4 linked regions of the Stegostoma tigrinum genome follow. The protein of the gene in region 1 purifies or fractionates together with the protein of each later gene. This does not show direct contact. Links are inferred from orthologs where the notes say so. Each region holds a gene or a part of one and is shown on either strand. Other genes may lie near its edges. The genes, in order: ptenb, otud3, hsp90ab1 and usp10.

What was found.
Region 2: the proteins of ptenb (region 1) and otud3 purify together in Homo sapiens (affinity purification with western blotting; 3 studies listed by BioGRID and IntAct, with this or other methods). This does not show direct contact. The link is inferred for Stegostoma tigrinum from reciprocal best matches to the Homo sapiens genes PTEN and OTUD3.
Region 3: the proteins of ptenb (region 1) and hsp90ab1 purify together in Homo sapiens (affinity purification with mass spectrometry; 3 studies listed by BioGRID and IntAct, with this or other methods). This does not show direct contact. The link is inferred for Stegostoma tigrinum from reciprocal best matches to the Homo sapiens genes PTEN and HSP90AB1.
Region 4: the proteins of ptenb (region 1) and usp10 purify together in Homo sapiens (affinity purification with western blotting; 4 studies listed by BioGRID, with this or other methods). This does not show direct contact. The link is inferred for Stegostoma tigrinum from reciprocal best matches to the Homo sapiens genes PTEN and USP10.

Annotation. Positions count from the first base shown.
Region 1 is NC_081373.1:46,077,210-46,084,562, reverse strand, and holds the start of ptenb (phosphatidylinositol 3,4,5-trisphosphate 3-phosphatase and dual-specificity protein phosphatase PTEN), read left to right. Parts: upstream 1-4,349; 5' UTR 4,350-5,601; coding exon 5,602-5,680; intron 5,681-7,353. Other genes in the region: atad1b (outer mitochondrial transmembrane helix translocase), read right to left, coding at 3,327-3,456. UniProt on the Homo sapiens protein: Dual-specificity protein phosphatase, dephosphorylating tyrosine-, serine- and threonine-phosphorylated proteins.
Region 2 is NC_081381.1:30,523,725-30,531,334, reverse strand, and holds the start of otud3 (OTU domain-containing protein 3), read right to left. Parts: upstream 3,015-7,610; 5' UTR 2,684-3,014; intron 2,531-2,683; 5' UTR 2,334-2,530; coding exon 2,131-2,333; intron 1-2,130.
Region 3 is NC_081357.1:1,517,250-1,525,251, forward strand, and holds the start of hsp90ab1 (heat shock protein HSP 90-beta), read left to right. Parts: upstream 1-4,997; 5' UTR 4,998-5,056; intron 5,057-7,765; 5' UTR 7,766-7,815; intron 7,816-8,002. UniProt on the Homo sapiens protein: Molecular chaperone that promotes the maturation, structural maintenance and proper regulation of specific target proteins involved for instance in cell cycle control and signal transduction. Undergoes a functional cycle linked to its ATPase activity.
Region 4 is NC_081369.1:49,064,661-49,072,497, forward strand, and holds the start of usp10 (ubiquitin carboxyl-terminal hydrolase 10), read left to right. Parts: upstream 1-4,835; 5' UTR 4,836-4,926; coding exon 4,927-4,947; intron 4,948-7,837. UniProt on the Homo sapiens protein: Hydrolase that can remove conjugated ubiquitin from target proteins such as p53/TP53, RPS2/us5, RPS3/us3, RPS10/eS10, BECN1, SNX3 and CFTR.

The sequences.
Region 1 (7,353 bases):
CAACAGAATTGAACCATTACCTCACTACATTCAATGACATTCTGGTCACCGAATTCCTCCTCATTATTAACATCTTGAGGTTACCATTAACCAGAATCTGAACTGGGCCAGCCATATAAGTACTCTGGTGACAGCTGCAGGTCAAAGACTCGGAATTCTACAAGGTTAACTCACTTCCTGTCAACTCAATGCTTATCTGTCATCTATGAAGCACAAGTCAGGAGTAGAGTGGAAATAGCTTCATTTACCTGAACAAGTGCAGTGCCATCAAAACTTAAGAAGCTGACATCAGCAGGACAAAACAGTCAGCTTGATTGGCATCCTAACCACTATTTTCAATATTCGCTTCCTTTGCCACTAACACAATAGCAGCAGTGCATAAGATCTACAAGAGAATTTGTGGCAACTTACCAATGATTCCCTGACAACACCTTCCAAATTCACACCACTATTATCCAGAAGGACAAGGGCAGCAGATGCATGGAAACATCACCACCTGCAAGTTCACCTCCAAGCATATCATTTGGACTCAGAAATATTTTGCCATTGCTTCACAGTTACTGGTTCCAAATCTTTGAAATCCCTTTCCTAATGTCACTGCAGGGGTACCTAAACTTCAAGGAGTAGAGTGGTTCAGGAAAGCAGCTCACCCCTACCTTCTTAAGGGCAACTAGTGCTAGGCAAGAAACGCTGGCCCAACGAGTGACTTCCACATCCCACAAGTGAACATTAAAAAAGACAACGGAAGGAGATTGTGGGTTTGTTTCTTGCAAGTGGCAATGGAGAATAATGTACTTGTGGGTCATCTAAGGTTTACAATGTGGAAGTATAATAGATGGGCTTTGGGAGCAAAGGGACATGAGAAATAAAATGGACTTGGATCACTGTAAAATGCACAGTACGGAAGGACATTTGGGGTCCACTAGCGCCCCATGCGTGGAAAAGTACTGAGCACAGTTTGCAGGTAGTATTAAATTTAGGAAGCCAGATGTGGGATAACAAATAGGTCCTGGATTTTTGTAGCGTTTTGGAAGGTGAGTTTTCAAAAAAGTACTACAGCAGAGGACGTAAAGCTTTGGTATTCGCCAAATTGATGGCAAGGGGTTGTTGAGTGTGACGTGCATGGACGAAGAGATGATACTGAATGGTTAAGGTTGAGACTTAGTGAACGGACGAGTGTGGTCAGAAGTCCAAAGAAACTGTGGCTTTTGTGTGTGTTTGCAGCTGGACAGTTTTCAGTGAGGATCAAAAGCAGTGTCATGGTTGAAAGAAATGGGAGCCATACAAGACAGCTGTATTCAGATTTAACCAGGGAGAGATCTTATTACAACATGACAAATTAAAAAAAGGAATTTGCTTAGGTTAACTTTATCTGAGCATCAGAACACAAAAGTCATTGAACCAAAACTTGACTGATTTTCACTCCACAGTGAAGTTTCCATCATTTCATAGTTAAAGCATTCGGTAAAATGGCACCAGAATTTAAATTAACTTAACTTGCAACTACAGGTGTGGAAAAGTTTATCATCTTGCTTAAACAGTTTCTCAATGCATTGCCATTATACCAGTTAATATTGCTACTGGATAAATCAGATCCCAGGTTGAAACCTGATTTGAAAGATCATACATTTTTCTTTAAATTAACATGGTCACCTTTCATTGAAACACAAGCAGGAAACACTGCAGAATTTATTTTAACAATAAAACAGAAGTTCATTATGCAACAGAAATGAAGCTAAAATAAAATAGAAAAAAACTAAGCTCTGTACTGTATGATTCTAAGCTATTTACACATAACACAATTTTAAAAGATTGAAACAGTAAAAATACAAGCCCATTTATCCAGACACCTAAGGTTTCTTTCTCTCTCTCTCACATCTAAAGGTTTAAATTAACTGTTTTTTTCCCCCCAATTCCTGGTTTTGTGAATTGTATTACCTCTCCCTTGATTAATAACACATCTGAGCCTAGTTTTCAGCTTCAAATAAACCCTTCATGCTTCTAATTAAATATTTTAAATATGGAATTTCAAACTAAAACCCTGACACTGAGATAATCTACTTCCTAACTCTTCTGAATTATCTCCTTACTCCAGGAAAGACTGTTCACACATCTAACTTCAACTAGGACTTCTGTCAACTAAAACCAAAAGGTTTACAATTCATAGATTTTCTCCAAGCTAGGGGGAAAAAAGAATCTTGATTCTTCTGAGTCAAAGCCAAAGCCTTTCAACGTTTACTGTGTCCAATCCTAAAATTCTCACAATAGAAACAAATGCTCATTAGCACTCCAAGAGGCTGCTCTCTGTCATAACTGGTCGAAAAAAAATCATGGCTCCAGAAGTAAAACAGAACTGCAGTTGCTGGAAATCTGAAACAAACAGAAATTTCTGGAGAAACACAGCTTGTCTGGTATTATCTGTAGACAGACAGCGAAATTAACATTTTGAGTCCGCAGACCTTCTTCGAAACTGATAGAAGCTAGGAAAACATGGTAAATACACTGAAGACTCCATGTGAAGAGAAAATGACTTCAGAAAACTGACAAGATAATTATTAAACCCCTTATAACAGACCAAGATCTGCGCACAACTAGTCCAAAATCCAAACACTAATATAGACAATATTAATTTGCATAAATCATAAATCCTAGGTCAGACCACACTCCAATCAATTGTTCAGAATGTTTATAAAATCATTAATTCATTTAAAATGAATGTCTCTCTTCCTCCTCAAGAAAGATGTCTGCTGCATTTGGCAAAAGAAAAACTGGTATCACATCCCTAGCTATAGAAAGATATTCCATTGGTTTGTGAAGAATTAGAATATCCAACATCAATGATTGTGCTCCTGAGATGCTGCTTGGCCTGCTGTGTTCATCCAGCCTCACATTTTATTATCTTGGAATTCTCCAGCATCTGCAGTTCCCATTATCAATGATTGACACTCGCTAGATTGTGAAGGATACTTCTGCTCAGATTTACACTCCAATGAACGTGCACGTTACAAAAACAAAGCCATTGATTATATATTGTCTGCTCCCTTCTTTTCAACCACAACGACTATTACATAAAATTTAAATAAAACTATACAATTGCAACTTAACAAAGCTGATCTGAACTAAAATAATTTGTCCACAAAGACAGTAGACATTAATTAAAATCATCCATACCGTTGTACAAGCTATTTCTAGTTTATTGTCAAATATCAAATTTGGCTTATACATCTTAGTCTTCAATTAATATTTATTAAAATACTTAATGGTAGACTACATTGTCTAATATTTCAAAAGTACTTTGTCAGTCATAATAGAACACTATCTCCAACCTTCATGTGATGAAAGATATAGGTATTTCCCCTTAATGTCTTGACTCCACATATCTGCGGCGGGGAAACAGCCCGATGTCCCACGAGCTCCCAAATTACAATATTCTATCGATAACCAACATACATGCATACACAAATCTACGAATAAGATCCATAAAATAATTGGAATAAACAGTGAGGATTTCAGAAGTGTCTGAGACACCACCTGTAATTGCCAAGGCAGCGGTATGGAAAAGACTATTCCCGCACAGTTGCCATCTCGTTCAGAAACTGTGGTTTTACTTCCAAGCTCAGTCCAAGACAGTCCCAAAGTGCTCTAAGGCTCAACATCAGGGTGCACTGTCACCGGAAATCCCAGAGAGACAGCGATTCCCAAAGTATGGGCAGCACGGGGTGGGGGAAACGACCGTATTCCTCAGTAATGGATTCCACGCAACGATATCAGTTGATCAAAATCCAATGGATAAAACCGGCCCGAAAGGCGGAGAGCGAGAGTTTGTAACACATGCGCAAGCAGGTTGCTCCTTTACCAAGATGGCGAAAGACAGAGAGCGAAAGAGAGAGAGACTTTCCCCCTCCACACAGCCCGGAAAAAACCCTCCAAGTCACTTGGTTCATCATTCCATGAATAAACAGATCAATGAGCGTCGGGTTCCAGCCAAATCCTCCCCGTACGTTCTGCACGATCTGGTTCTTTTCTCCCCGGATAGCCCGGGCATTTTTGGTAGCGGGGACCCGTGAGGCTGTACTCGGTCAATGGGAGTGAGGGTAGAGAAGGGGGCGCTTCCGCTGTTCGCCTTCGGGGTAAGTAACCTGGAGACTCGGCCGTTCAACGGCCGCAACTCGCGCTCTACTGGCCACGCCCCCTTCCCCTGGGAGCCGTACCACCCCCCGCCCTCCTCCACCACTGTTCAGGAGCGACAGGAGAGAGAAAAAAAAATCATCGCAGCGGACACGTGACTGCGCAAATAGTGCCAGCACGTCCTTCTCACGCCGCTGCGAGATCGCCAGCACCAATGTTGTAATACTGATTTAATTCACTTCGTATTCGAACCTACACCCCCCTCCCCCAACATGCCACTACATACTCTCAACCCTGACACAACAGCCGGTCCCGAAATCCAACGGCTGGCCTGGAAAAGGGTACAAGTCAATCCCAGGGCAGTGCTTGGAAGGGCGACTGAGGAGATTTAATTGGTGAGCGGGGAGAAGAGTGAAAGCGGGGACTATATCCAAAGGGCGGAGTGTTACACGCTCTCTCTCCTCCTCCTCTCCCCCCTCCCCCTTCTCTCTCTCTCTCTCTCGGTCTCTCTCTCTCTCTCTCATTCCCACTCGGGGCCATTGCGCTTTTTTTCCCTGGGAAGCCATCATGGAAGTTTGAGAGTCCGGCGGTGGCCCCAGCAGCAGCCTTGGTGGGGGAGGGGGGGGGAAGAAGCTGGAGTCGGTGCTGTGGCCGGGACGGGAGCTGGAGCCGTGGCCAGGGCCGGGGCCAGAGCGATCGGCCGAGAAAGAAAAAGGAAGGAAAGAAAGAGGAAAAAAAGAAAGAAGAGCAAGTGTGCGTGTGCTGGAGGGGAAGCTCGGCTTCCTGCTGACTTTTTTTCTGAAAAATAATGCTTATAATTTTTTAACACGGAGTGGATCAGGATCCCGGAGTGTGTGGATTATTATTTCTGACGGAGCGCAAGGAGAGCAGCCACGGATGTATTTTTTAAAACGCGTAATTTATTGACAGCGGAGGGGTAAAGGAATCGACTTCTTTGGATTTTTTAAAAAAAGATCCCTTTCTTTTAAGCGAAGGCATTGAGATTTTTTCCTCCCTCCATTTCCCTGCCTATCAGCCCCCCCCTTTCCCCCCACCCCCCGACCGACGGTAACGGCGGCGGCGGCGGTGGAGGCGATCGTGGAGGAAAAATCGTAGCAAGAGGCGGTGAATGTGGCCACCGTCTTCCCCCGTTGCCCCACCAATTCCTCTTCCCGCTAAAGGGTTTTACTTTTTACCCCCTCTCTCCCACCCCCACCCCCCGTTTTCCTCCTCCTTTGATGGTCATCTGAAGAAACCGGAGCAAATCCACCACCCCCCAACCTCCCTTACTCCTGCGGAGGATATTAACGGAGCCGGGGGGGAAAGGCGAGAGGCAGATTGGGAGAGAGAGAGAGTGCGTGTGTATGTTGTGGAGCTGGGTGTTAGGCCCCTGTGTGACAGCAATCCAGAAGGTGCCAACAAACCCATTTCCACATCCTCCACCTCCACCACCTCCTCTTCCTTCAACCAGGCATGGCTTCGAGAATCAAAGAACTTGTCAGCAGGAACAAGAGAAGATACCAGGAAGACGGATTCGACTTGGACTTGACATGTATCCATTTTTCTTTTCATAAGGAGGGGTTTGGGTGGGAGGTTGGGGTTTGTTGAGGAAGGTGGTTTCAAATATTGCGTCTTTATTCTTGCCTTACTGAATCAAGGTTTGAATGGAGACGTGCAAAAAAAAATCGATGCACTCCCTTTACTTCGTATTAGATAAGGGAGGGGAGACCCTGCCGTCACTCTTGCAGAAACTGAGGGAAATTACACAATTTTAACAAATTGGTCCTATTCAGTGCTGGAGTACAGTTAAATTGAGTAACTTGCAAGTGACTGTATTAAAATATTGGGTGAGTTCCTTTTTGTTTGTTTTTCTTTAAAATATGAGTAATTAGGTGTACAGGCCTTGCATTATAAGTTGAATGTGTAATGTCATTATATACATTGCTTTGTGGTACTGAAATACCTATTGTGCAGATCTAGAGCTGCCATGCGTAGCCTCTGCAGGGGGGCATACGTACTGCACAGAGTGCGTTAGGTCTTGGCCTAGATTAGAATGGATGAAGTTAATTTTGTCTTTGGCTAAAATGTTTAATATCTGTTGAACAATTTTAAAGTGTACGTTTTACGTTCAGTAGTTTTGCACGAGCTTGCGATAATAAAAATAATCATTTTGCATGGATGAGTATCGTTAATTCACGTTGCTGCTATTGTAAATCACTAGTGTTCAGGAGTTTAATTTTTACTTTGTGCACAGTGAAGCAGATGTCCCTGACTTGAGCAGTAGACTCTGTAGGTGCAGTTGAGAGCTCGTAGCATTTTGCCTTTGATACATATATCGTCACTGACAATGATTTTAGGAGTCATTTGAAGTTGTCTTTGCTTGACTTGAATGGATCTAGTGTCTCGTAATTTTGCTGATCTTGCTATAATACCGCTGGCCTTCTAGTTTAGCAGTTTTAATAGAAGGAAGGAATACAGTAACATGCAATAGGAATACTGTAACAAGCAGTTTATGGTGGTGATGTCATGGTGCATCAGTTTAAATTACAAGACGCAATGATCTTGTGCACTGCTACGACTTGAAATAGCGTCTAAATTTTCACTAGATTAGAATAAACTGCAGTTTTGTATTTTGTGAAATGGTTTGATATTTAAAGGGAAAAAAGTACTGAAACTTCTGTTTGAGGAATGTGACTTGCAACTCAGTAGACTTGAATGCCCATTATGCGCATTAGGCTAAATTGGATTGTACTGTCTTTGGATGAGGCAGGAATTATTCATTCACGATCCAGAATCCAATTTGTGTGTTGATATAACTTGAATTTTTTTTCCACTGGTTGGTACGTTTGTGTTGACGTTTTGGTTAATCAATTTTGCCTATTTTCACAGTTTCCTTTGCTCAGGTGTAAAGCTTTGCAGTATATATATGCTAGATATTTGCATAACTTTGGTTGAATATCTTGAGGCAGAGCCACTAGGGTAATACTATTTTGTAAATAATAGCAACATAGCGTTCAGGAATGATATTCATTAGTACTTGACTGTTAATGCTTTAGGTTAATTATGACAGAGCTTGAAAGAAACCTATGTGTCTCAGATCTACTGGATGGGAGAATATTTTAAAAATGCATGATGTTAGTCACTCAGTGCTGCTTGAATACAGTATGGCTGCTTTATATGTGATGAACTTTACAAGTTGTTTGAGTTTCATGCAGTATATTTATG
Region 2 (7,610 bases), on another chromosome or scaffold:
ACCAACACCTTCCACCCCAACCTTCAGTTCACCTGGGCCATCTCCAGCACATCCCTCACCTTCCTGGACCTCTCAGTCTCCATCTCAGGCAACCAGCTTGTAACTGATGTCCATTTCAAGCCCACCGACTCCCACAGCTACCTAGAATACACCTCCTCCCACCCACCCTCCTGCAAAAATTCCATCCCCTATTCCCAATTCCTCCGCCTCCGCCCCCACGATAAGACATTCCACTCCCGCACATCCCAGATGTCCAAGTTCTTCAAGGACCGCAACTTTCCCCCCACAGTGATCGAGAACGCCCTTGACCGCGTCTCCCGTATTTCCCGCAACACGTCCCTCACACCCCGCCCCCGCCACAACCGCCCCAAGAGGACCACCCTACCTACCTCCGGACACAACGCATCATCCTCCGACACTTCCGCCACTTACAATCCGACCCCACCACCCAAGACATTTTTCCATCCCCACCCCTGTCTGCTTTCCGGAGAGACCACTCTCTCCGTGACTCCCTTGTTCGCTCCACACTGCCCTCCAACCCCACTACACCCGGCACCTTCCCCTGCAACCGCAGGAAATGCTACACTTGCCCCCACACCTCCTTCCTTACCCCTATCCCAGGCCCCAAGATGACATTCCACATTAAGCAGAGGTTCACCTGCACATCTGCCAATGTGGTATACTGCATCCACTGTACCCGGTGCGGCTTCCTCTACATTGGGAAAACCAAGCGGAGGCTTGGAGACCGCTTTGCAGAACACCTCCGCTCAGTTCACAACAAACAACTGCACATCCCAGTCGCAAACCATTTCCACTCCCCCTCCCATTCTCTAGATGAAATGTCCATCATGGGCCTCCTGCACTGCCACAATGATGCCACCCGAAGGTTGCAGGAACAGCAACTCATATTCCGCCTGGGAACCCTGCAGCCATATGGTATCAATGTGGACTTCACCAGTTTCAAAATCTCCCCTTCCCCTACTGCATCCCTAAACCAGCCCAGTTCATCCCCTCCCCCCACTGCACCACACAACCAGCCCAGCTCTTCCCCCCCCCCCACCCACTGCATCCCAAAACCAGTCCAACCTGTCTCTGCCTCCCTAACCGGTTCTTCCTCTCACCCATCCCTTCCTCCCACCCCAAGCCGCACCCCCATCTACCTACTAACCTCATCCCACCTCCTTGACCTGTCCGTCTTCCCTGGACTGACCTATCCCCTCCCTACCTATCTTCTTTACTCTCCATCTTCGGTCCACCTCCCCCTCTCTCCCTATTTATTCCAGTTCCCTCTCCCCATCCCCCTCTCTGATGAAGGGTCTAGGCCCGAAACGTCAGCTTTTGTGCTCCTGAGATGCTGCTTGGCCTGCTGTGTTCATCCAGCCTCACATTTTATTATCTTGGAATTCTCCAGCATCTGCAGTTCCCATTATCTCTGATGCCATTTTTTTCTAAAACCAGGAATAGAAGTCATGAAACAAAAACAGAAAGTGCTGGAGAAACTCAGCACATCTGGCAAAAAACGTGGAAGAAAGCCAGAGTTAACATTTTGTATCCAGTAATCCTTTATCAGAACGTAAAGACCATAACTTCAGCTTGAGGAAAGATTACAAGGCAGAAAGTATCTGACTGCAGGATTGCTTGGTCTATATTCTACATAAAATTTGTAACAAATGCTTGGGCATACACACCGACTTCAGGTTTGAAGCAAAGAATTTTCAATTCAAGTTGAGTGTGTTGAAAAGTTAGATCTGACTTTTGACCATGATAGATTTTGAAAATGACATCAGTAGCAGCTGGGTTTTTAAACCTCAAAACTGCCAATCCCTCACCGCTGAATAATTATGGTCTCCACACACAGCAAAGCTGGTGACCAATTTAGTCTCAGGCAGTTTTAGCGAAAAAACAGAATTAACAACTCAACATGAGGTATCTGCTGAGCAGAATGCCATATGAAAAACAAAGTTTAACTCCTCCACTCTCTAGGAGCAAATTCAAAGTTAAGTATTACACCAATGACAGAATCAAAACATCGCATAGCATCAATCACCAACAGGTTTTAGCTTACAATATTAAAACTGTCTCATGCTGCAGAATCATGAGGCAATGACTGTGTGATACCGTGTTTCTTACCCATCACCAGGAACTTCCCTGAGTTTGAGTCCCATGGCCAGCAGTTGGTTGGCAAAGCTCAAAAACTCTTCATCCTCTGATCCCTCCTGGGGCCTGTTCTTCCTCTCTTTAGCCAGGGCTCGTCTCACCGCCTTTTCGTCTCTTTTCCGCTCCAAATCCAGTTTCTTGTTAGTCCTGGTTTTGACCGCTTGCTTCTTGGACATGGCTCACAGGCCGGCTAGGACCACATGGAAGCTGCAGAGAGCGAACCAGGATCATCAGATAGGCAATAGGGCAGAGTATCAGCACAGTGACAGGGTCCAACTGCAGAAGAAGATGCAAGGCTTGGGGTGGAGGGCGAGAAACCGGAGCCAAGGACACTCTGGCCTTGCCCTCCAACTGAAGGAGGAAACCCCAAGTTCTGAAGCAGCAAAAGAAGGGAGAAAATGGAAGATATTTATTGAGCGCTGACGGTAAGCTGAACAACTATACTATATGATGTTATAGAGTGAAGTCGGACAAGCTGAGCTCAGTCCTGCTACATTGTGATATCCTTTGACGCAACAAAACGTACCCGCTGCCGGTTTTATTCTTTTCAAGTAGGGCCTAGAGCCAAGTCTGAAGCCTCGGGCTTTGCGTGTCGGCGCCGCCCGCCGGAGGTGACTAGCGCCAGGGCTGGGGAGGCGGGTCCCAGGGGCCTGAAGCTGCCGGCTCCCTCACGCACGGAAGGCGGCTCTCACGGCGTGAACCTCCAAAAAAAAACCCGGCAGCCGCGAAACCGCGGCCTTTGGCTTCCAACCTTCCTAGCGTCCGCAGCGCTGGGACTAACTTCAGCAAACCACTCAACTAGCCATCAATCTGTTCTGGAACCTACTCCAACCAGGACCTTTAATCCTCTTCTCAATCTCAACCTTTGCAGGAGTTAAACTGCCCCCAAACAAAAAAACTTTAACTTGCCTCAATCCTTAATTTAGTCTCCTTCAGCACGAATCCACTATATAATCGCAGACTGTTTCAATCATTATCCATTTCTATCCTAATTCAATCCCAATCTTTTTTATTTCATTCTGTTTTAATTACAATCCAAATCCATCCCAGTCTATTTCTTAATTGGCAGCAGTCTTTTAAACTAATTTGTGATTTCATATTGCCTCGTGGGTAAATCTATTTCTTATTTGATGCTCATCCTTTTCAAAGGGAAGGTTTTGGGTTTCAACCATTTAAATATTTTAACTGTCTCCATGCAGCGACATTTATGCCTACAAAACAAAACAAAATTACAGTAGGTTTCTCTGGCTCTTGGTACAAATAGAAATGATTTCTAGTTAGGTTTGAAATCTTTTTTTCCTTACTTTTACCTCATTGTGGCTATTAAATATGTTAACCAGAGTGGATCTAAAACGTACAGACTCAAAGTGATCTTGCTTTCATCCCAGCATGTGCTGAATTAGACACAGAGGAGGCTGGAAGAACATAGCAAGCCAGGCAGCGTCTGGAGGAAAAGCGAAGTCAACGTTTCGGTTATTATCCTTCTTCAGGACTGGTTGGGCACAGCAGAATTTGTTAAGTATATTTTTGGTGAAGAAAAGGCACTCCACTCAACTGTACTGCCTTAGGGTAGTTAAAAGGGAATAAAAGCCAAAATCTTGATTATTTTGAGTAATCCATGCTGAAAAGAGACAATTGTGAATATTCTGTTATAATAAAATTGAACTTCACTGTCCCCCATATCAGCCAGTAAAATCTGCTGAGGTTTTCTAAGTTAAAGCATGAAGGACATTGTTATTTAGCTAAGGTACTTGAGCATGTGAGGTGTTAGAATTGCACACAGCAAACATCAAACTTACACAAGAAGAAAGGTAAAACTGTGAGTTTTAAAAGAAATATATTTAATATATATCTGTGCCCTTGTTACCTCCAGGCTGACCTTTTGTCTTTCAGCCTTCATAAACTTGAGTTCATCTAAATTCGGCCTTCTGCATCTTCACTTGTGCAAGGTCATATTCATCCTTTGCCTCTGTACTTCAATTTTAAAATTCTCATCCACATTTCCACCTCTGTTTCCTCCTTGAAAATATTTGTTAAATCTACCCCTTTTACTCATTAGTCTTAACATCTCCTTATGGGATTAGGGTCAAATTTTATTTGTTAACAGACTGTAAAGTACATATTTCCATTTTACTACACCAAATATCCTTTCTCAATGCAACGTGTTTCCTTAATTAGCAAAGGCTAATCAGGTTGCGACTCTACTCATTGGAATTCAGAAAAATGAGAGGTGATCTCATTGAAACATATAGGATTCTTAAGGGGCTTGACAGGGTAAATACAAGAGAATGTTTTCCCTCATAGGGAGTCTCAGAGCAGAGGGCACAGTCACAAGATAAAGGGGCAACAATTTAAAGATTGAAATAAGGAGAACTTTCTTCTCTGAGGGTTGAGAGTGTTTAGAACTCCTTGTTACAGAGAACTGTGGGGGCAGAGACATGTTGTATTTTCAAGGCGGAGATGAATTCTTGTTCAGTAAGGGAATCAAGGGATACAGGGCAGCAAGATGGACGTGAAAAATGTCAGAGCAGCCATGATGTTATTAAGTGGTGGAGCAGGCTCCAGGGGCCAAACATCTTATTCCTATTCCTTTTCGTATGGTCTAATGTGGGATTACCTAACCATTTTGGATACAAGGGAACAGTCAACATCAGATATCTACTATAGTGAAAATTATATTTCAAAATGCTAATTAATGTAAAAAGTGAGTCTAATTGTGAATGAGATAAAGTATTGAATGCCACATCAATGAGTTCCATGGACGTTTGCTAGCATTCAGAGCCACTGTTATGTTAAAACAGCATGGATATATGTAGTAATTTCAAAGTTAGGGACAACATGGTGGTTTGTCACCTGTCAGTGATTACATTGCAATCTCTTAGATGGTGTGAAAATCAGTTCCTAATGTAGAAAGCCAGTGAATGTCAATGAAAAACTCTTGCAATATATGTAAGCACATGAAGAGCAACATCTCTGGATTAAATGGCGATTTAATTAAACACAACAATATAGGCAAAGTCACAAGATAAGTATAGATGGTGGAAACAGCAGTATAAAAAAAAGCTCATCCATAGAATAAAACACACATCAGATTGTAATTTATTGCAATGAGAACAAAATACTATGGATGCTGGAAATCTGAAACAAACACAGAGAATGCTGGAGAAACTCAGTGGGAAGGTTTGGCATTTTACAGGAGATTTTATTGCTGCTGTGTCTGCTCGTCTAATTCAGCGCTGATCAGGAATTAAATTTGGAGATGTCTGCACCCTTATCACTTTGTACCTTACCTTTGGGCAGGAATTGGACGGATACAGACTTGTGCTGTACTATTCTATGGTACATGTACGTATGGCAGCATATCTATGCGAAGCCTCTTCCAGGGATGCCTAACCTGAAGAAGTTACCCTCCTCCCTCCGGACCAACCTCAGGGAATCTCTCTCCCATTGCAACTCTCTTGTAATCTCTTCGGCCTTGAAACTGCTAAACCTATCCCCTCCCTACCTCCCCAACTATACTCTCTCCACCTATCTTCTTTTCTCTCCATCTTCGGTCCACCTCCCTCTCTCTCCCTATTTATTCCAGAACCCTCACCCCATCCCCCTCTCTGATGAAGGGTCTAGGCCCGAAACGTCAGCTTTTGTGCTCCTGAGATGCTGCTTGGCCTGCTGTGTTCATCCAGCCTCACATTTTGTTGTCTTGGATTCTCCAGCATCTGCAGTTCCCATTATCTCTGATCTCTATGACTCTTCATACTGGATTCAAAATGTTAGCTCTGTTTCTTTCCGTACAGATGCTGCCAGACCTGCTGAGTTTCTCCAGCATTCTCTTTGTTTGCAATTTTATTGTTTATTGAAGTGTCTAAGTTTCTTCTCATTCTTGATTATTTACCATTGCCATATTTAATAAATAGCCCCTTGTCCTAATATCTATTTGTGTTTCCTGAAGTAAAATTTAATATATTTTCTACTTCTATGAGGTTTCATCATAGTCATTTTTATTGTAAGGTAAAAAGCCCCACTCGCTCCAAACTTTACTGGGAATCAATTCTCTAATGCAAAGGACCAACCTTATTATACTTATTTTCATGGTTTTTAGAAGTTGAATGCTTCCCTTGTGTCCTTACTACCAAAACTGAATCCAATGTCCAATACAATTTTCATATAATATTTTCTGGCTTGTTCTTAGTTTACCTAGCGATGTAATTCAGCATTCTACTTATTTTATTACAGATTGTTTGCATGTTCCTCGTAATAATACCATACATGTATAATGAGCTATAAATACTGTAATTTATTCCATTGCAATCACTGACACATTATTTAGTTTTTCAACATTTAATTTTTTTTTACAATTAACTTTCTATCATTTTGAGAGCTGTGAGTAGAAAGTTAGCAGTAAAAACACACTGTCACACACTAGCTGAACCTGGACAAAGCAGAAGATGGAGCTCTTGTCCTGTGAGTGTCTCGAATGTTCAGTGAAGCCGCGCTGAGAATGAAGTATCATCCTATCGAGCTGATGTTGTCAATATCAGCACATGTTGATATCAGTGCATGTTTTCCATTTGTCAAAAGAAAATTGGACAATTATCTGAAGGGAAAATGTTTGAAAGATAACAGGGAAAAGATAGGGTCCTATGACCAGGTGAATTGATCTTGGGGAAAGCTAGCACAATTACTGTGGGCTGAATGGCTTCCTGCGCTGCAGCCAACATATCATTCCATGTTCAAGCATCTTTGCAATTGTCAAACATGCAACAAAAGCCTGTTTGTCTTATTTCAGTAAGTTGATGACATTTCCTGATAAAATCCTGTACTTGAGAGCAATATTAGGAAGCCATTCACTCCTTAATCTCAGAGATGAGGTTCTGTTTATGCCTCATGCAATCTTTTCCTTTTGCCAAAGTCTAATGACTCCACTGTGTACAGGGTCTTGGGCATTGACAATAGTAGTAACTGATGCATTGGAAGAGACACTATCACTAGTTTGTGAGGGCAAAGACCCATAAACACCAATGTGATAACGGTCAGTTCTTCTGATTTAGTGATATTAAATGAGGGATAAATATTTGCAAGACACCAAGAATTCCCTGTCCTTCAATGATACCATGCCATGGGATATTTCTAACAATCTCAGAGTAAAGACGGGCTCTCAGTATCATGTCATTCAGTAGATTATGATTCCAGCAATGTAGCTCCCTCTCAGCACTGCACTGGAATGTCAGCCTAGATTATGTGCTCAAGTCTCTGGCATAGGATTTGAACCCACAACCTTCTGAACTATTGCTATCAGGTCAGATAATTCTAATAACTCACTATAATGATTGGGAATTCAGATTTGGGACCTCCATGAATGTTATGGTTTAGCATATTGGACTTGGTTAGAAAATGTGAAGATTGCTAAAAGGGACTGAAATAATTCCACAGGGGCCGGTATCTGTCACCAAGTC
Region 3 (8,002 bases), on another chromosome or scaffold:
GGGATGGGGTCAGGGTTCTGGAATAAATACGGAGAGAGGGGGAGCTTACTAACCACTTCACACTCAACAGACAGATATACAAACAGATCAACAGCACATCAATGGGATCACCCATCTCAGGCCTCATCGTAGAAGCAGTGATGCAGAGATTAGAAAAAACAGTCCTTCCTATAACCCAACCAAAACTGTGGGTATATTATGTGGACAACACATTTGTAATAATCAAATGCACAAAAGTAGAAGAAACCCACCTCCCCAACCATTCTTGATAACATGCCTCTATGGGTATCAGTCCCGTTCCTGCACAGATGGAACCATCCAGTTTCACCTGGCTCCCCCCAGAACTGGGCCCAATGTCCCAGGAATATGAAACCTGACCCCTTGTATCATCTCTTCAGCCATGTATTCATCTAATGTATCCTGCTATTTCTGCTCTGACGACCACGTGGTATCCTCAGATCGCTACCTTAGAGATCCTCATTTTTAAACGTGCTTTCTAATTTAGTACTATCTGCTTTCAGGACCTCGGTCTTTTTTAAAAAATCTATGTAGTTTGCACCACCATGCAACCACTAGCAGTTCATCCTCCCCTCCTCAAAATGTTTTGTAGTTGCTCTATGACAACATTGACCCTCACATCAGGGGTGCAACATTCTATCCTGGAGTCTCAATTGCAGTCACCAAACTAATTCTCTTACAATTGAATCCCCTATAATGATTACATTCCCACACTTTTTACTCTTCCACTATGCAGCAAAGTCAACCATGGTGCACCAAATTTAGCTATTTCTGCCATTCCCCTCAACAGTGTCCAAAGAGGTTTATCTGCTTTGCAGGGTATAGTCACAGGAGACTCCTGCACTGCCTGCCTGGTCCCTTTGATCTTCCTGATGGTGACCATTCTCTTCGTCCATGGTGTGACTGCCTCTCTGTACATATTATCCACAATGAAGAATACTGGGCTTCCAGGAGCTATAGATAGAGACACTTCTCGCACAAATGCTACCATTGACTGACTTCTCACATTGAGAAGAAAGGGCACTCTGTAGCTCTGATCTCTCCTGGCAGTAGTTAAATTGAACTTTTCGGAAGATGCTTAATATCAAATAATGTTAATTACTCTAGGGTTCTTATTCCTGGTCCTATATCACTATAGAATTTAGTCCTTACAAACTATAAGCCACAGACAACAAAAAAAAAATCAATTAAAGCACCTCCCCTCACCCCAGCACTGAATTCCCATTGTGCTCCAATATCCCAGAAATACACACGCACCGTCTATCTGGTAGTCTCTCACTGAGGATGTGTTCTCTCCCAACTGTACCTGCTACCCATGTCCCTCGAGATAGAAGTGGTCACGGGTTTGGTAGGTGCTAAGGAACCTTGGTGAATCCCTGCACAGCATCTTGTAGATGATCCACACTGCTGCTACTGAGTATTGGTGGTAAAGGGAGAGAAGAGGTGAGCTGCAGGAATCCTAACCCCTCACTTCAGCAATTAAGAATGCACAATATCCATCAACTGGGGGGGGGGGGGGGGGGGGGAATTAGCACAAATATCAATAATAATCATTCTAAATTATAACAAAAACAAGTAGGCAACTGTTGAAATTAAATTTGGATGTTAGCCGTCATATTGATATTTCCTTGTGAATCTTTCAGTGCTGACATCTAGATGGTGACAGACACAAGCAAGCAGTGGATGTTTGACAAAACAAAAGTTCGCTCAATTCCAATTGAAAAGTTGTTTTGCTCTCTGTACAGATGCTGGCAAATGTGATGAGATTCTACACTTTTGTTTGTACCTCAGCTCTCCAGCATCTCCTGCAGTGTTTTGCCTTTGTTTTACATCAGTGGAGTTTGCAGGCTCACATTCCAAGGGCCATAGATAGCTAGGCTGAATGAACCCTTTGGTCAAAACATTGAGAAAACTGTGCAACTTGCTTGTGTCTTGAAGGCACTGTGTGGTCAGTGAGCAGGAGCCATGGGGTATGGAGTGCAACTCAAAGCTGAGCTGCTGGGCCTTCGGTGATCGAAGACCTGAACATGGATTGGAGGAGATGCAAGATCTGGGTCTGGTAATGGATAGGGACTGGACATGGGCACAGATTGCAGGGGGAGCTCTGTCCCTGGCAATGTTGGGAGGGTTGTGGGGTAGGGCTGCAGGCTGAGCCTGGAGGCAGCTTTCACTCTCTCTGAAGGGCCGAGGGTTCCCTCTCTGGGAGGGGATCGGGGTCTCTCTTTCTCCATCCCCATCAGGACTGGGCTCAGGATCAATCTCCCTCACTCAGGTGGGCGGGTGGGGCATCAGATCTCTCCGTCTCTCTCTCAGGAGAAGCCATGGTCGTCTGTCTGTCTCTCTTTCTCTCTCTCTCTCTGGAAGAGGGGGATCAGGATTCCTCCATCTCTCTCTCTCTCTCTCTGGGAGAGGGGGATCAGGGTTTCTCACTGTCTCTCTCTGGGAGAGGGGTATCAGGGTTTCCTCTCTCTCACTCGGGGAGAGGGGAATCAGGGTTTCTCTCTCTCTCTCTCTGGGAGAGGGGGGTCAAGGTTTTTTTTTCTCTCTCTCTCTGGAAGAGGGGGGTCAGGATTTCTCCATCTCTCTCTCTCTCTCTGGGAGAGGGGGATCAGGGTTTCTCTCTCCGTCTCTCTCTGAGAAGGAGGGATCAGGGTTTCTCTCTCCCTCTCTGGGAGGGGGATCAGGAATTCTCTGTCTCTCAGAGAGGGGGATCAGGGTTTCTCCCTCTCTCTGGGAGAGGGGAATCAGGGTTTCCCGCTCTCTCTCTGGGAGAAGGGGATCAGGGTCTCTCACTCTCTGGGCTGGGAGAGGGGAATCAGGATTTCTCTCTCTCTCTCTGGGAGAAGGTGATCAGGGTCTCTCACTCTCTCTGGGAGAGGGAGATCAGGGTTTCTCACTCACTCTCTCTCTGGGAGAGGGGGATCAGGGTTTCTCTCTCACTCTCTCTCTGGGAGAGGGGGAGCAGGGTTTCTCTCTCCCTCTGGGAGGGGCGAATTAGGGTTTCTATCTCTCTCTGGGAGGGGGATCAGGGTTTCTCTCTCTCTCACTCTCTGGGTGGGGGAACAGGGTCGCTCTCTCTCGGGGAGAGGTGGATCAGGGTTTCTCTCTCTCTCTCTCTGGGAGAGGGGGATCAGGGTTTCTCTCGCTCTCTGGGAATGGGGATCAGGGTTTCTCTCTCTCTGGGAGAGGGGGATCAGGGTTTCTCTCTCTCTCTCTCTGGGAGAGAGGGATCAGGGTTTCTCTCTCTCTCTCTCTAGGAGAGGGGGATCAGGGTTTTTCTCTCTCTCTCTCTGGGAGAGGGGGATCAGGGTTTTTCTCTCTCTCTCTGGGAGAGGGGGATCAGGGTTTCTCTCTCTCTCTCTAGGAGAGGGGGATCAGGGTTTTTCTCTCTCTCTCTCTGGGAGAGGGGGATCAGGGTTTTTCTCTCTCTCTGGGAGAGGGGGATCAGGGTTTTTCTCTCTCTCTCTGGGAGAGGGGGATCAGGGTTTTTCTCTCTCTCTCTGGGAGAGAGGGATCAGGGTTTCTCTCTCTCTGGGAGAGGGGGATCAGGTTTCTATCACTCTCTGGGAGAGGGGAATCAGGGTTTCTCTCTCTCTCTCTCTCTCTCTCTGGGAGAGGGGGATCAGGGTTTGTCTCTCTCTCTCTCTGGGAGAGGGGGATCAGGGTTTCTCTCTCTCTCTGGGAGAGGGTGATCAGGGTTTTTCTCTCTCTCTCTGGGAGAGGGGGATCAGGGTCTCTCTCTCTCTCTGGGAGAGGGGGATCAGGGTTTCTATCAGTCTCTGGGAGAGGGGGATCAGGGTTTCTATCTCTCTCTCTGGGAGGGGGAACAGGGTTTGTCTCTCTCTCGTGGAGAGGGGGATCAGGGTTTTTCTCTCTCTCTCTGGGAGAGGGGGATCAGGGTTTCTCTCTCTCTTGTGGAGAGGGGGATCAGGGTTTCTATCAGTCTCTGGGAGAGGGGGATCAGGGTTTCTCTCTCTCTCTCTCTGGGAGAGAGGGATCAGGGTTTCTCTCTCTCTCTCTCTCTAGGAGAGGGGGATCAGGGTTTTTCTCTCTCTCTCTCTGGGAGAGGGGGATCAGGGTTTTTCTCTCTCTCTCTGGGAGAGGGGGATCAGGGTTTCTCTCTCTCTCTCTCTAGGAGAGGGGGATCAGGGTTTTTCTCTCTCTCTCTCTGGGAGAGGGGGATCAGGGTTTTTCTCTCTCTCTGGGAGAGGGGGATCAGGGTTTTTCTCTCTCTCTCTGGGAGAGGGGGATCAGGGTTTCTCTCTCTCTCTCTGGGAGAGGGGGATCAGGGTTTCTATCTCTCTCTCTGGGAGAGGGGGATCAGGGTTTCTCTCTCTCTCTCTGGGAGAGGGGGATCAGGGTTTCTCTCTCTCTGGGAGAGGGGGATCAGGGTTTCTCTCTCTCTCTCTCTGGGAGAGGGGGATCAGGGTTTTTCTCTCTCTCTCTCTGGGAGAGGGGGATCAGGGTTTCTCTCTCTCTCTCTCTCTGGGAGAGGGGGATCAGGGTTTCTCTCTCTCTCTGGGAGAGGGGGATCAGGGTTTCTCTCTCTCTCGTGGAGAGGGGGATCAGGGTTTCTCTCTCTCTCTGGGAGAGGGGGATCAGGGTTTCTCTCTCTCTCTCTCTCTCTGGGAGAGGGGGATCAGGGTCTCTCTCTCTCTCTGGGCGTCTTCCCGCCGCCATCACTTTTGCCTGCCGTCTCCTTGGTAACAAAGGCCCCGCCTTCCCCGCGACGTCCTTACGTCACCGCATAGAAAGTGCTGGAACAAACTGTGTAACCGCCCGCCCCCGCAGCATCTCCCTCCGCTCTAAGTAAATATCCCGCTGTTCCAGCCACCTTTCTGGGGCTTTGTGTGTCCCCCCCGGTTTGGTGTCGGGGACAGGGCCCTGTGCGGGTTGTGCTTGTGCAGTATAGGGAGGGCCACTTCCGGAGGTCCAGGTCTTACCGCCATAGCCCTCCACCGCGGATTGATCTGTTCATCCGCGTGGGCGGTCCGGGTGTGATCCGGTCAGGACCATCAGGCCTAGCGTCAGCTTCGGCATCGTGTCCGGTCACCGGTAAATCCTGTCAGAGAGAGAGAGAAACACGGTAATTATACCCGGTATCGTGTCCGGTCACCGGTAAATCCTGTCAGAGAGAGAGAGAGAAACACGGTAATTATACCCGGTATCGTGTCCGGTCACCGGTAAATCCTGTCAGAGAGAGAGAGAGAAACACGGTAATTACACCCGGTATCGTGTCCGGTCACCGGTAAATCCTGTCAGAGAGAGAAACACGGTAATTATACCCGGTATCGTGTCCGGTCACCGGTAAATCCTGTCAGAGAGAGAGAGAAACACGGTAATTATACCCGGTATCGTGTCCGGTCACCGGTAAATCCTGTCAGAGAGAGAGAGAGAAACACGGTAATTATACCCGGTATCGTGTCCGGTCACCGGTAAATCCTGTCAGAGAGAGAGAGAAACACGGTAATTATACCCGGTATCGTGTCCGGTCACCGGTAAATCCTGTCAGAGAGAGAGAGAAACACGGTAATTATACCCGGTATCGTGTCCGGTCACCGGTAAATCCTGTCAGAGAGAGAGAAACACGGTAATTATACCCGGTATCGTGTCCGGTCACCGGTAAATCCTGTCAGAGAGAGAGAAACACGGTAATTATACCCGGTATCGTGTCCGGTCACCGGTAAATCCTGTCAGAGAGAGAGAGAAACACGGTAATTATACCCGGTATCGTGTCCGGTCACCGGTAAATCCTGTCAGAGAGAGAGAGAAACACGGTAATTATACCCGGTATCGTGTCCGGTCACCGGTAAATCCTGTCAGAGAGAGAGAGAGAAACACGGTAATTATACCCGGTATCGTGTCCGGTCACCGGTAAATCCTGTCAGAGAGAGAGAGAGAAACACGGTAATTACACCCGGTATCGTGTCCGGTCACCGGTAAATCCTGTCAGAGAGAGAGAAACACGGTAATTATACCCGGTATCGTGTCCGGTCACCGGTAAATCCTGTCAGAGAGAGAGAGAGAAACACGGTAATTATACCCGGTATCGTGTCCGGTCACCGGTAAATCCTGTCAGAGAGAGAAACACGGTAATTATACCCGGTATCGTGTCCGGTCACCGGTAAATCCTGTCAGAGAGAGAGAGAAACACGGTAATTATACCCGGTATCGTGTCCGGTCACCGGTAAATCCTGTCAGAGAGAGAGAGAGAAACACGGTAATTATACCCGGTATCGTGTCCGGTCACCGGTAAATCCTGTCAGAGAGAGAGAGAAACACGGTAATTATACCCGGTATCGTGTCCGGTCACCGGTAAATCCTGTCAGAGAGAGAGAGAAACACGGTAATTATACCCGGTATCGTGTCCGGTCACCGGTAAATCCTGTCAGAGAGAGAGAAACACGGTAATTATACCCGGTATCGTGTCCGGTCACCGGTAAATCCTGTCAGAGAGAGAGAGAGAAACACGGTAATTATACCCGGTATCGTGTCCGGTCACCGGTAAATCCTGTCAGAGAGAGAGAGAGAAACACGGTAATTATACCCGGTATCGTGTCCGGTCACCGGTAAATCCTGTCAGAGAGAGAGAAACACGGTAATTATACCCGGTATCGTGTCCGGTCACCGGTAAATCCTGTCAGAGAGAGAGAGAGAAACACGGTAATTATACCCGGTATCGTGTCCGGTCACCGGTAAATCCTGTCAGAGAGAGAGAGAAACACGGTAATTATACCCGGTATCGTGTCCGGTCACCGGTAAATCCTGTCAGAGAGAGAAACACGGTAATTATACCCGGTATCGTGTCCGGTCACCGGTAAATCCTGTCAGAGAGAGAAACACGGTAATTATACCCGGTATCGTGTCCGGTCACCGGTAAATCCTGTCAGAGAGAGAGAGAAACACGGTAATTATACCCGGTATCGTGTCCGGTCACCGGTAAATCCTGTCAGAGAGAGAGAAACACGGTAATTATACCCGGTATCGTGTCCGGTCACCGGTAAATCCTGTCAGAGAGAGAGAGAGAAACACGGTAATTATACCCGGTATCGTGTCCGGTCACCGGTAAATCCTGTCAGAGAGAGAGAGAGAAACACGGTAATTATACCCGGTATCGTGTCCGGTCACCGGTAAATCCTGTCAGAGAGAGAGAGAAACACGGTAATTATACCCGGTATCGTGTCCGGTCACCGGTAAATCCTGTCAGAGAGAGAGAGAGAAACACGGTAATTATACCCGGTATCGTGTCCGGTCACCGGTAAATCCTGTCAGAGAGAGAGAGAGAAACACGGTAATTATACCCGGTATCGTGTCCGGTCACCGGTAAATCCTGTCAGAGAGAGAGAGAAACACGGTAATTATACCCGGTATCGTGTCCGGTCACCGGTAAATCCTGTCAGAGAGAGAGAGAAACACGGTAATTACACCTGGTATCGTGTCCGGTCACCGGTAAATCCTGTCAGAGAGAGAGAGAAACACGGTAATTATACCCGGTATCGTGTCCGGTCACCGGTAAATCCTGTCAGAGAGAGAGAAACACGGTAATTATACCCGGTATCGTGTCCGGTCACCGGTAAATCCTGTCAGAGAGAGAGAGAAACACGGTAATTATACCCGGTATCGTGTCCGGTCACCGGTAAATCCTGTCAGAGAGAGAGAGAAACACGGTAATTATACCCGGTATCGTGTCCGGTCACCGGTAAATCCTGTCAGAGAGAGAGAGAGAAACACGGTAATTACACCTGGTATCGTGTCCGGTCACCGGTAAATCCTGTCAGAGAGAGAGAGAGAAACACGGTAATTATACCCGGTATCGTGTCCGGTCACCGGTAAATCCTGTCAGAGAGAGAAACACGGTAATTATACCCGGTATCGTGTCCGGTCACCGGTAAATCCTGTCAGAGAGAGAGAGAAACACGGTAATTACACCCGGTATCGTGTCCGGTCACCGGTAAATCCTGTCAGAGAGAGAGAGAAACACGGT
Region 4 (7,837 bases), on another chromosome or scaffold:
TTTATGGTCAGCTGCTGTTATGTGAGTAGCTCCAAGAAAGTGAAAGCCAGCCATAAATAGAGGGTATCCTGGCTCAAACCACAAATGAGAGTTGTGAACCCTGCAGTCTTTCTTTCCAGGTTACTAGCAGCAATATTTGAGAGATTAACCTTGGTGCATTCATGACCTATCTTTGGGAAAGCATCTAGGACCAGAGGACATAATGTCAGAGTAAGGAGTTCCCCAGTTAGGAAACAAAGACAGAACTTCTATCGATGGGTAGTGGATGTCTAGAATTCTTTTTCGCAGAGGGCAATTGAGGCTAAGTATATTCAATGCTGTCATTGTGGATACAAAATCCTACTTTCACTTTGAGAATAACTACCATTGTGTTGTGTGGCACTATCACTGTGCTAAATGGGACAGATTTTGCACAGATGTAGAGCAACTCAAGACTGGGCATCCATGAGGCACTGTGGGCCATCAACAGCGGCAGAACTGTACCGCATCAAAATTTGTAACCTCATGGCATGGCATATGTCCCATTCAACCATTACCATCAAGCCAGGGGATCAACCCTGAGTCAACAGAGAGTCAAGGACGGTATACCAGGAGCAGAACCAGGCGTACCTAAAGATGAAATGTAAACCTGGGGAAGCCAACAGACAGGACTACTTGCATGCCAAACAGCATAAGCATCAAATGATAGACAGCGCTAAGTGATTCCACAGCTAATGGATTATATCTAAGCTCTGTAATCCTACAACTGTGAATAGCGGTAGAGAATTAAATAACTCACTAGAGGAGTTGACTCCACAAGTATCCCCATCCTCATTGGTGGAAGAGCACAGCACATCAGTGCAAAACATAAGGCTGAAGCTTTCACAGCAATCTTAAGCCAGAAGTGCCGAGTGGATGATCTCTGTCAGCCTCCTCCAGTGGTCCCCAGCATTTCAGACGTCAGGCTTTAGCCAATTCGATTGACTCCACCTGATAGTCAAGAAATGGTTGGAGACACTGGATACTGTAAAGGTTTACAAGCCCTGAAAACATTCCAGCAATAGTACTGAAGACTTGTGCTCTAGAGCTTGCCGCTCCCCTAGCCAAGTTGTTGCAATACAGTTACAACACAGGTATCTACCCGACAATGTGGAAAATTGCCCAAGTGCATCCTGTGCATAAAAAGCAGGACAAATCCAACCCTACCAGTTACTGCGCCATCAGTCTCCTCTCAATCATCAGTAAAGTGATGGATGGTGTCATCAACAGTGCTAGCAAGTAGCACCTGCTCAGCTATAATCTTTCCAGTTTGGGTTTGGCCAGGGCCACTCAGCTCCTGACCTTGTTACAGCTTTGGTTCAAACATGGAAAGAAGCACTGAATTCCAGAGATGAGGAGAGTTTTAAAGCCCTTGACATCAAGGTTGTATTTGATCAAGTGTGGCATCAAGGACCCCTAGCAAAACTGGAATCACTGGGAATTTAGGCCAAACTCTCCACTTGTTAGAGTTATACCTGACACATAGTAAGATAGTCATGGTCGTTGAGGTCAGTCATCTCAGTACCAGGACATCTCTGCAAGAGTTCCTCAGGGTAGTGTCCTAGGCCCAACCATCTTCAGCTGCTTCATCAATGACCTTGTCTCTATCATAATGTCAGAAGTGGGGATTTTTGCTGATGATTGCACAGTTCAGCACCATTTCAGACTCCTCAGATACTGAAGCAGTCCATGTTCACATGCAACAAGATCTTGACAATATCCAGGTTTGAGCTGACAAGTGGCAAGTAACATTCGTGCCACAAAAATGCCAGTCTATGGGCTTCACCAATAAGAGACAATCTGTTCACCTCCTTTGACATTCAGTGTGTTACCGTTACTGAATTCCCCATGTCACATCCTGGGGGTTATCATTGACCAGAAACTCAACTGGACTCACCATGTGAATACAGTGGCTACAAGAACAGGTCAGAGGCTTGGAATACTGTGACAATGTACACACCTCCTCATTCCCCCAAACCCTGTCACTATCTAAAGGCACAAGTCAGGAGTATGATGGTAAATGCCCCACTTGCCTGGATGATTGCAGCCCCAACAATACACAAGGAGCTTGACATCATCCAGGACAAGGCAGCCTGCTTAATTAGCACTATATCCGCAAGCTTACAGTTCCTCTACCATTGACACTCAATAGCAGAAGTGTGTACTATTTACAGAAACTCACCACATAGCGTCAGGTACACACGTTCTAAACCCATGACCATTTCCATCTAGAAGGACAAGAGCAGCAGATATATCAGAACCACCACCTTTAATTTCCTCACTAAACCACTCACCACTCTGACCTGGAAATATATCGCTGTTCCTTAACTTTTGATGGAATTCCCTCCCTAATGACATTATGTCAACCCACAGTGGTTGGATGGCAGCTCACCACCACCTTTTTAAGAGCAACTATCTCTGTAGTAGTTGATAGGTTATTTTAGGTTGGGGAAAGATTTGTAGAAAAAGGTCTCCTGCGTCAGGGTCGGGATCCATGCTGAAATAAATTATTGATCTAGACCCCACTGTGCAGAGGTAGATAGATTTTGCAGAGCACAATTCCAAAACAAATTACACAAAACTTGGAAATATTGTAAACTATGAAGAAGATGGAGTAGAACTTCAAAAGGAAATAAATAGTGGATTGGGCAGACAGGTGGCACATGAAGCTCAATGAAAAGAAGCACAAAGTGTCTCAGTTTGACAGGAAAAAAATGGAGATGATATGATATAAAAAGGTACCATCCTAAAAGGGTGCATGTGTAGTTGATATGATTGAAGGTGGCAGGATAGTACTAAAGAATGATTAATATATCTATGAAGTATCATAGACTTTATTAGCATGGTCATAGAGTGTGAGAGCAAGGAGTACATTCAATTATTTGAACAAGCCATAGGCCCCTCAAGCATGCTTTGCCATTTAATACCTGATTTGATATTAATTTTTATACACAAATGTAAAGCACTGATTTGGCCTTAACTGTCCAGTTCTGGATTCTACACGTCGGCCAAAAACAAAGGCATTTGAGATTGTGCAGAAAAATAATTCATAAGGTTGGTTTCAGCAACTTTAAGTTCCGAAGCAGATTGGAGATGCCCCGTCAGTTTTTCTTGGAGAAAGGAAGCCTAAGAGTAGTTTTTTTTTTGGATTAATTTGTGGGACGTGGGCATCACTGTCTGGCCAGCATTTATTGCCTGCTCTTCTGATGCTGCTTGGCCTGCTGTGTTCATCTAGCTCTACACCTTGTTTTCTCTATCAATTACTACTCTTGGTTTCGTGTCAGTCAGCCAATTTTGTACCTGTGTTTTAGTATCCATTTATTCAATGGGCTATGACCTTGTCCACAAGTCTATTGTGCAGCATTTTATCAAAGACTTTTAGCATGTCACTCATTAACTCTGTCTGTCATCTCTTCAAAGAATACAGCAAATTTATTGAACACATTCAGTGAACAATTCTGTCCGAGATTCCTTCATTACTCACATTTGTCCAAATTATTGGTTATTTTGATAGCATGACAGATTCGTGCTATCAAGTGGTAATGTTGTGGAGGTGCAGTTTTTCTGAAAAGACATCAAATTAAGGCTCTCAGATAACATGGTGTAGAGCTGGATGAACACAGCAGGCCAAACAGCATCAGCGGAGCAGGAAGGCTGATGTTTCAGGCCTTGACTGTTCTTCAGAAAACGTCTGCTTGCATGGTTGTATGTAAAGGTCCCGGAAGCAGTATTTCAAACTGAAGTATCTTAGAATAAAAGATTCTGAAGAAGAGTCAGTTCAGATTTGAAGCAGTAACCCTGTCTCTACAGACGCCGTCAGACCTGCTGTTTCTTGCACGTTTCAGTGGCGATATATATTCTAATGACCCAGTTCAGGGATGTTATTACACACATGTGGTGCAGGAGGATTTGAACTCAGGGCTACTGGACCAGAGGTATGATATGAAGGTGCTAGTGTTGGACTGGGGTGGACAAGGCCAGAAGTCACATGACACCAGGTTACAGTCCAAGTTTATTTGAAATCACTAACTTTCAGAGCAAAACCCCTCAGGTGAACTAAAGACTTCTGATTTGGACCACAGGTACGAATGCTACTACTGTGTCCCAACAGCCCTTCTTATGTTTCAGCATAAATATTCATTCCTGAAACAACATCACAAAATATATATTCGCGAGTTATTATCTCGCTGTTAGTTTTGAGGTTGATGAGCACAAATTGGTTTGTCACTTTCACTAAATTGGAACCCTGGCCGACACCTGAAAACTCATGAGTTTCAAAATGACCTGAAAACAATCCGTCCTGAACTAAAATCGAATTATTGCACACCTCAACGAAGATCAGAAGCAAAATCCAAAATAAAACTAGACACCACTTGAAAATTGAATTGCTCTTTTAAACAGAAAACTATTAGGCGGCATTTCCTCCACCCTTGTTGCAAGCTGACCAATAGGCACGGAGAAAAGATCAAGTGGGGTTGGTTATAGCCAATCGTTGAGCAAGGGGTTCGCCGGCCGCGCGCGATTTGTCCAATCAGGAGGCCACTATTCGCCTGACTGGTAAGCCATTGGCTGGACGGCGGCATCCGCGAGCGGACCAACAGGACGGCGAATACGAAGCTAGTAGACCAATAGGAGAGCGTGAAGGTGGCAGACCAATGGAAGAATATCGTTGCTGCCGACGGACCAATGGAGAAGGAGACGCGGGTCATAGGGACGAATGGGGGAAAGCTGAACAGTCAGACCAATAGGAGAGCGCAGAGGTGTTGGACCAATGGGAGGGCAACGGTTGGGGGCGGGTGTCTCGGGGAGGTGCCAGGGACACGGGCGCGCAGGCGCACGGCCTCTGGCGGAGCAGACAACATGGCGGCAAACGGGGAAGCATGAGTTATCTCATTCAAAAGCAGCAAAATGGCTAGCAACAATATAAAGGTGAGGAAAGTCGGGGATGGCAGGGCAGCGGCGGACGAGCATCGGGGACTGGGCGGAGAATGAAGCGACCTTGCGGTTGAGGGGGATTTAAGATGAGAGATTTCGTTCCCTGTCGAGGATGAGGCGGTGGTAGCGCGGGGGGAGGGTGGGGGGAGGCGGAGAAGGCAAGAGAATCCATGAGGTTTAGGCCCCAGGGTATTTTCCTCAGCCTGACTACTTGCGGTCGCAGAGTTTTAGCCCAGGGCCCCACACGATGCTATCAGGTTGTCGACTACCCGAAGGATATATCTCGTTAATGAGACACGCCCGCCCTGGTGCCTCACGTTTCGCTTTGCCTGGATCTGAAATGCGCCGCGGCCCTGTTACAGGCCATCTTCCATAGTTCGGCTGCATTCCAAATTGTTCGGTTCAGCAAGAAAACATTAAAAGAGATGAGCGGTGGGGGAGGGGCGCATGATGATTCATTCCACCTTGGACTCTGTGTCCCCTGCAGTTAACCTGGAAGGGATTCTCTTGGACGGCAGGGTATATCCTTGAGTTTTATCACAGCAAATTGGGTGGAAAAATGCTTCAAGATCCACTTGTGAACATGTACTTTTATCAGTCGGGAATGGTGGAAGTGGATTCTGACCATTTTATTTTGGGGGTGGGGGTGCCCCTGTTTTGCACGTGTTCTGAACGAAATCCCTTGGTTTCTGCCTATGCTACAGTATACACATCACACCTTAGATTTTAGTCTCACTAATTATATAGTTCAACCTGTATGCCTGATCAAACTTGTGGCACACTTTAACATCTAGAAAGTTTTGTAACGGCGTTGAGTGGGATTTGAACAGTTCATCTTGGTTTATTCAAATAAATCACACGTGTGGATAAGCTGCCAATTATGTTGTAATGTTTAACATAAAATCTGACGAGCATTTTCTTTCTTTGTATGTCATTATTAGAACAATGAGTCTACAAATTTAACTTAAATTTTAAAAAGCCCTTAAATTCAGAATTGTCAGCTGAATTACCAAAATCATGAGTGCAGAAACAATTTACTGAACATATTAAATGTTGCAAACATAGATTTTGGTGTTTTGCTTTCAACTGTACTTTTAAAAGTTGCTTGCTTTATGAAGCTTTTTGGTATTTGAACTTTTTAGCTGCTTGCACTTTGGACTGCTTTCTGGCTGTTAAATTTTAAGTTTTAGTTATTCGTACAGAACATTTCAAAAAAATTTAGTCGGGTGAGCTGGGTAGTTGTCGGGAGCTGATACATATTGGATCAAATAACCTCCCTCTGTACAATAAATTTCTGTAATTCTAAAAAAGTCATGCTGAATTTTTGGAGAAAATTTAGAACTGAAATTCATCAGTGCGAATATGCATACTGTTTGATCTTTTGCTGTGCCATTTGGTCATTCCAATTCTCTGTATACACCAAGATTTTGCTCTGGGCTAATATCTTTGTGCGTTCGGCCACATGGTGTAAAGGGGTGACCAAAAGCCAATGAGACCAACACACAGGAGGGGTGGGGGGATAAAAAGCCACAATCTGACACAGCTGACTTCACCCATCTGTAGGTGAAGAAAGGAGGGTGCTGGTAAACCCAAACATGAGAATGGGGTGTTGTCGAGCCTATGGCTTCACAAGAGCGTGCCCAAGTCAAGGAAGAATATCTGCAGGCAAAGACATTATTGCATCAAACAGTATGGACCACCACCTTAAATAGCTGCCATGGATAGTTCGATCAGTATGACAGCTCATTCTGCCAGGAACTGCACGGTTTTGAATTGGTCTTGATAGATTAATTTATAATGTCTGCTTTATGAACAAATCCATTGGTTGAAAAGGACTCTATTTTGGCTCTTGTTTGAATTTAAAGCACTTACAAATAGTTCAACACAAATAAATAAATTCTAACCAGTCTGGATTTTTAGCTGTAAGGGGACGGGCTGAAATGAGAGAGCTGATAATTATTAGCCTGAAGATCTCACTAATCATTCCCACTACTTATTAATTTCAGTTGTTAGTTATGATTGAACTTACGCATGCAAAATTAATAGTTGAAGATTGGACGTGTCTGTTTGGAGTTTCATCTCTAATATGGTATCAATGATTTTTTGCAATTTTAAAAATACTTTTTTCCAAATATTATTTATTAAAAGTTATTTTCAATTTTAAATGAATTTACTTCATCCAGTTTTGTTTTCATGCAGAAACTGCAGTGCCCAATGAAAATTGACAATCCATAGAAGGGGGACTTTCAAAATCACCTGTACAACACCTAAATATTGCATTTATGCAGCACCTAAAGTGCCATGAGAAATTTCTGCTTACGTTTGTCTTACATAGATTTGTCTTAGATCATTATTGAAAATTATTGCTGTTGCAGCAAACAGTTGTACTTGCAGGCTACATTGTTCAAAACTGAAATTAATTGTAAGGTCTAATTTTGAATATGTATGGCTTTTTTAACGAAAAACTATTTTTATGACACATGCTTTCTAGATTGTTGCCACTGTTTTTGGTTTCTTACTATTTTAACAATCAGCAGATAAATTGACATTACAGATCTACCCTAGATTATAGTATTTGGTACAGATGAAATGACAGTCCCTCCAATTTAAAACTTCTGGCGCAAATGTATATAGGAAGCATATGTATAAACGTGAAGCTGACGACAATTCTGGTATCCAAATGCACAGTTAGTGTGATTATCCAGCAGTTTTTGTCACTGATTCCCTGCTCTTCTATTCTGGCAGATTGCAATTTTTAGAAGCCAGTTGAACAGATATAAAGTTTCTTTTCTGTGCAGTAATATTGTTATTTTTAAAAATCATTCAGTGAAATATGCTTGAGTTTTTAACAGATGACCAAGTCATCATTACTTCTGGATACCTC